Linked DNA regions of Xenopus tropicalis. The protein of the gene in region 2 binds, or shares a complex with, the protein of the main gene of each other region. Links are inferred from orthologs where the notes say so. Each region holds a gene or a part of one and is shown on either strand. Other genes may lie near its edges.

Region 1 (2,619 bases), on a different chromosome or scaffold from region 2:
GTTTTTGCTGCGCTACCACCAATTAATGTGGTGATGGTCTAAAAGCTCTTGTGATAACATGGATGTTTTGAAGTGGGTGCAGTTTAAAAAAGGGGAGTGGTCAAAACCAACTTCCATTATGGGCCTTCCACTATGTAGGCCACAAAAATTCTGGCCCTTGATACTACAGCACTGATCTAGAACATATCTGTCCAAGTGGACTGTGGGCTGGACTTGAACCCAAAAAACTCCAGCTAAGGGCTGTATTAAACACTTTATATGGCATTCATTTAACAGAAAAACCCTTTAATTAATTCAGTTGGACAGCACTGATCTAGATTATGAATAAATAACCTTTAGAACTTAGTACTAGTATGGGATCTGGAAACCCATTATCCAGAAAGTTATGAATTATAGGAAGGCCATCTCCCATAGACTCCATTGTATACTTAATCCCAACTAATATATAATTAATTCTTATTGGAGGTAAAATAATCCTACTGGGTTCAATTAATGTTTATATGATTAGACAAGGTATGAAGATCCAAATGACTGAATAACCAGTTATCAGGAAAACCCCAAGTCCCATACCTGTACAGTGATTCTTTATTCAGTAAGTGACTGGACAATCCACCTTGCTCACTTTACACAAACTTTCTAAAGAGTTGCACATGGAAGATTTTATTTATTTCTTGAGATACAATTAATTGCATTGCTTTAATATCAACATGAAATATAATGTGTGGCCATTTTAAGTGTTAGGGACTAATAATCTCCTCAAGACTCAAATGTTTAACATCTGCAATACAATTTGTATTATTTCAATGGCACAAACAATGTAAGGAGGTGTTTTGAAGACAAGTATCTGCAGGATGAAAACAACACAGAAAACCAATAAAAAATCTGCATACTTATTTGGGGTGTACTTAAAGGTTACGCAAGCCTTTTGACTTTAAAATCCCCCAAAATACTCACAAAAGCTCCCAGAAGAACATACCTTTTCTCCCAGCAGATTTTGTATCACTAACAGCTCAACTTCAGCTCTCTTAGCTACTTCCTAGTCTATTGTGAAGCTCCGCCCCTTTGCTTCTCTGAGCTTTCCTGCTCTGTCTGACTGTAAACAGTCAAAACGGTGTCTGCCGTGCATGCTTGCTGCCTCTGCTTCAATAAAAAGCAATCAGGCACGCACAGTAGGCACCTATCTAACCATCATGCTCAAAGAGACAAGGAGAGCTCAGAAAAGAAAAGGGGGCAGAGCTTCATTGTAGACCAGGAAGTAGCTGAAATGAGCTGCAATTTTCAACTTGTAATTTAGAAATGACATGAAACTGAATGCAGGGAGAAAAGATGTTATTCAGGGCACTATTCAGAGCAATTTTAGAGATTAAAAAAAGGCTTACGTATTCTTTTAAGTTCATTTACTTATTCTTTAAATTTCCCTTTAAGAACCAAAGATGATTTTTAACCTCAAAAAGCTAGACCTAGGTAAATGTATGCAAAACCAACAACTATCTGCACCTTTCTAAAGCATAGTATGTAAAGAAACAGGTCATGATGAATCTAAGAATATAGGAATACACAGAACTTGGCCCCCTTGGCACTTGTATCCCTAAATCTAACTGCTAAAATAAGTATTTGTTTTAAACGTTCTAAAGTACATAAGGTTACAGTACATACGGTATATAAAAATACTGAACAAATTTTCCTGGGACCATATAAATGTTTCCCAATTATACCATTCTCTTTTAAAGGGACAGATGAATTGATCCTTCAAAAGAGCTCACTGATACACACTGAAAAATGTTCCTATCAGAACCGGATGTATTTGAATGTACAGATACTGTACAGTTTTCAGCAGCTTAGCCGTATTTGCCACTCTACTGAAACCACCTTATAAGCACATCTAAAGCAAAACTGTGATTAGGTGAAGTTTGGCAAGAAAAGAAAAGAAATTCTTCCTTGCTACTGAAACCAAACCCGTACAATGAGTTGTAAAACAATGTATGTTATGTGTGTATTTGTGAATGAATAGAGAAGCAGCATATACACTGTAAAACACTGAGTCCCTTATTATAAGGTGGTTGCTCGTAGTACAATATTAAGAATCCATACCCATATATAAAATACATTAATAAAAAATTTATATAGTTTCTTTAAATTATCAGCTCAAAGGCTTGTTATATGTGATATTAACTTAGATCTGGAGAAACAGGGATCTCCACAATATGTTGTGTTCCTGCAGATTATGGTTCCAGTATATGGAAGGTATTATAATATCCAATTACATCTGTTCATGCAGTGCTGCTTTGTGACTAGTCAACCCTTTTCTTTGAATTCTTTTTCTTCTGTTTAATTATGAGCAAGTCCTGGTCAACAGCACAACTGTCTCCCTTTTTGCCCTTATGTTTCTTCCTCCAGCCTTTTTTAAGCAAATTTTTCTTGTCTTCCTTGAACAGGTTGCTGCCATCATGCTTCTTTGAAGATTTTTTATACTTTAAGTAATCATTGGGGCGTCCACGGGGGAAATCCTCCTCTGTTTCTTGAAGGCCAGATCTTTTTTTCTTACGCTTCTTCGTTTGCTTTGTCTCTGCACATTCTTCATCCATGAGGGTACCCTGCTTCTTTTTTTTACTAGGACGT
Region 2 (4,226 bases):
GCTAGTGCGGAAATTACAGTTTTTAAAGTTAACAAAAGAGCGGCTTTTTACTGCCTCTGGTAACCTGTGGGCATGACCTCTGAGGCAAGTTTCTCAGCTTGCCTCATTGCAGGAGCACCCCTGCATTTACAGCTGCTCCTATGTTAACTATAGCTCACAGTTAAATACTGTGTAGGTCAGGCAGGGCTGCCATCAGGGGGGCACAGGGGGGATAGTCATCCCGGGCCTGGGCGTTCTTTACTTTTAAAGGGGGCCCGGCTGTGCTACAGTTTTTTGACTAGCTCGGCCCCCTTTAATCTATTACGGGCCCTGTCATCAATACTTGAATCCGATTGGTCGCGTCCCGTGCGTACGTGTGACGTCAGTACACATGGGGCGCAACTTTATAAAAGGGCCTGTCTTCTTTCCCGTGGAGACACAAGTGAGAAGGAGTTGTTCGGGAAGTATCGCTGGAGCCGCCGCCAGAGGAGAAAGACCCTGGAGGAGGCACTGTCTAACGGGGGGCACTGTCTTTTGGGGGCATAGAGTTAGGGGGGGCCCTGTATATGGGGGCAATTGGGGGCCCTGTCTTTGGGGAGAATTGGCCAGCATAGAGTTAGGGGGGCCCTGTGTATGGGGGCGATTGGAGGCCCTGTCTTTGGGGGGAATTGGCCAGCATAGATTTAGGGGGGCCCTGTGTATGGGGGCAATTGGGGCCCCTGTCTTTGGGGGGCACACTGGCCAGCATTGTAAGGGCGGGCCCTGGGCACAAATGTATTGGGGGCACACTGATGGGAGGGGCCATTGTGGGAGTAGCCCTGAGGGAGGGGCCCCGTGATTTCTGATGGTGGCCCTGAGGTCAGGCCATGTATATAGCTACCACTTGTAAACACAGCTTGGTCCTTTGGACCCAACAATATTTGCACATAGTAAGACTGTACATTTATTGCAGCATGTTTCCCAAGTCAAGTACAATGGCAACCATTTATTTAGAGAAACAAAGATGCAAAGGAGAAATGTTAACATTATGAGAAAACAATGCCGATAAATATCTACATTCCAGCATTGGTTACAGTTTTACCGTAACATTTCAGCTCAGTTGCCGGTCTTTTTAGTCAGCAACTAAAAATCCACGGCATTGCATAGTACTATTTATACGGTGTATGCAATCCCGTTGTTCGGTTGGATATTGTTAACTATGAGTACAGTTAATGTGAAAAATGAAACAAACTTTATCCTTAGCCTATAAGTATCAGATCAAAGCCTAGAAGAATCTGATTACGGTTGCCTTTTCTTTTGCCCCGCCTGTTGGTTAAGCTTCTATGTGGGGCTTATTGATTAGGAGGCGGAACAATGTAGCGCTCAGCTACCTTTAGATTGGCCCGCCTTTTGTGGGTTGGGCCGAAATTGAAGATTGGAGCATGTGCAGTAAGTAGTTAGAGGGAAGAGCCGCCATTGTTGTGCCCGGTGTGACAGTGGCAGAGATCAGGCTTGGCATGGGGACTACCGTATGAAGACGGATCTTAAAGCCCACGACGCACGGTGAATGGGGAGATAGTATTAAAAGAGTACAGGTCTGGGGTAACCTGTAGTCGTAGGCATTAGTTGGAGAGGAGGGTGCTGTCTGAATGCGAAGCGGTTTCGAACAGTTTGGAGAAAAACGGTTGTGAGAGTGTACACCACGGCCTTTAATTGAGAGAAGTGCCCATAAAGGAGAACTTTGCGGTTAGGTAACCCTATAGGGGACCAGGAGGGGCGTGTTAAAGCAGGGCATTTGTACCAAGACCGGAAAGGCAGGAAGCCATCGGGTTGAAGTGTTTGGTGATTTTGGACTTTGCACAGAGTAGCTGTATTTCGGGAGTAGAAGGGACTCACGTTTGTTAGGGCTGGGGTAAGAGGCATTACAGAGAGGGTAACTGCCCCAGGGGTGGTAGTTTGGGGGGGGGGGGGGCAGGTTCCATTTGATGGATCCTCGGATCGCCTGGTTTCAGCCAGAGCAGCTAGGCCCCTCCAACAGCCTGTGGATGCAGATCTGGGAGACCACGCAAGGATTGAGGAACCTCTACTTTAACCATAATAGTCCGGCCTCCCCCACACATAGCGCATCTTCCAGCAGCTCCTCGATCTGTGAGACCAACACAATGTACAGGGACAGCGGAACAGCTCAGAACAACCAGTCCTTGGGGGAGCAAAGAGATTACATCCCAATAGAGACCACCAATAATAACAACAACCAACTGCTGAGCCAGAGCCCTGGGGCGTGGGGGAAAGGACATGACCATATAAACAGGAATAAGAGAAAACGGGATAACAAGGCAAGTACTTTCGGACTCAACTGCCTTCTCCAATGTTCAGCTGGGAGCAGTGTGGTGGGGCTGTACAACGGGACTCCATGGAAAACACGAACATATAGTGAAGAGGTCATAGGGTGAGTATCAAAATGTGTGCCCCTCTGTACATTTAATGTTGTTCTCAGACTTATACGGTTGTTTAATTTTGTACTTTTGGATTAGGGAAATGAAAAAGAGGAATTGTGTTACATAATCTGCCTTTAATGTTGGTTCTGATGCTAGTGACACAAACACATTGTGACCCTGAACAAATCATTTAAACTCCTGTCCTGGTATACATAGTGTATCTATCATAACTGCCTTGATCTCTGTAAAGGCACTAATTTCTCTTCTCTTCCACTTATCTCTAGCTTAGCCAACACTGCTACCTATAGGATACTAATGCTATCAGAGTAGTTAGTGTATAATCCAAACGAGATATTTAAATTATAGCAATGTCCTGTACAGGATGAACCTAAAGTGATATGTGTGTATATATAGCATACATATGTATGTTTACAGATAATAAACTTTCTATAGGTAGCCTCCCCTTGTGGTGGACACTGGTTATGCAAGTTGTGGCCTCTAAATATGGGGGAGGGCTTATCATAGAAAGCTTTTTAATGTCCATTAATGACATAACTGTTTAAGTGGAAATCTGCTGGCCATAGTCACTGTTGAAATAATGTTAAGTTTGAGTTATTTCAGTTGTTGTACTATTAATTTTTTATCTGTCGTGAAATAAAGGACATAATCGAATTAAACTTTTTAACCATGTAAAGCATACCTATTTTTGAAGAAAAAAAAGTTTTGTACGTACCCCTAGAATCCGTGTGATGCCAAACCTGGTGCTCTTGGCCGGTACTCCTGTTATTATTAAACTGCATTGGCCCAGGTACCTGCAAGCAAGTTTTGCCTCCATCTTCGTGGTCCTGGGGCCAATGTACGTGCAGTGGCGTGAAAAGGCTTTTTTTTTTTTTTTTTTAAGTTCTACTTTTCATTCTACTGCGCATGCACAAGCAGGGCAAAAGAAGAAGTATGTGGATTGCTTACTCACAGGTACTCTGGACCAGTGCAGAACACCAACCTGGGTTATCAGGTAAATGATTCTAATCACTGGGGCAGGCCTGGCAATTTGTGGGTTCTGGCAAATGCCAGAGGGGCTGCTGTAAGATGCCATAGACAGTCACTATTTAGTGAGCTGCTGGGTTGGCTGTATTGGCTTCTTTGCATTTTATATGCCACGGCCTACTTTGAATCCTGGCCTGAGCCTGCATGATGGGGGGGGGGGGGGGGGGGGAGTAGTGCCTAACATCCCCCAGCGATTGTACCTTTCCTTTTACTTTAATTTTTTTCAAAGACAGTAAAGCCTCTTTTAGCATAATACTGAACAAAATAACTTTTTTTTTTTAAGTTTTAATCCCATTCTTACTTGTCCGCTATACAGAGATTTTAAGTAAACAAAAGTTGTACAGGTCTCACACAAATTTATCAAAAAAGCAATATTTTTTTAATCTTTATTTTCCCATCAGCAAAAGGTATTAGTGAATCCAACTCAAACCGCTTGTGTTTCTTCTTGAGATCTATACTTTTAAAAATATCATTTGATACCTTTTGCTGATCTCCTGGGGGATTAACCATGGAGTGAATGGTGATCTCACCCTGCTGCTCGATCAGAAGAACTTTTCTATAGAGGAAGCTAAATGTGAGAGAGGATAGAATAAAATGGTATGCCCTATACTATTGGAAATTTGATATTTCCAGTTAAATAGGTTATAACTTTCCTTGTCCTTTAAAATTTCTAATATCTTAAATAATGGGCCTTTCCAAATTCATTTGATGTGTTTGCTATGAAGGTTATTTATTATCTAAACATTGGCGACTGATTCCATTTTATTCATCCTTTTTCAACCCATG

Evidence for each region. Proteins that work in one complex are often made in the same cells at the same time.
Region 1: tent4b (region 2) and zcchc7 share a complex: the UniProt entries of both Homo sapiens proteins name them as parts of the nucleolar TRAMP-like complex. The link is inferred for Xenopus tropicalis from reciprocal best matches to the Homo sapiens genes TENT4B and ZCCHC7.

What each region holds. Positions count from the first base shown.
Region 1 is NC_030677.2:109,180,881-109,183,499, forward strand, and holds the end of zcchc7 (zinc finger CCHC domain-containing protein 7), read right to left. Parts: coding exon 2,292-2,619; 3' UTR 645-2,291; downstream 1-644.
Region 2 is NC_030680.2:43,944,758-43,948,983, reverse strand, and holds the start of tent4b (terminal nucleotidyltransferase 4B), read left to right. Parts: upstream 1-1,351; 5' UTR 1,352-1,943; coding exon 1,944-2,407; intron 2,408-4,226. UniProt on the Homo sapiens protein: Terminal nucleotidyltransferase that catalyzes preferentially the transfer of ATP and GTP on RNA 3' poly(A) tail creating a heterogeneous 3' poly(A) tail leading to mRNAs stabilization by protecting mRNAs from active deadenylation.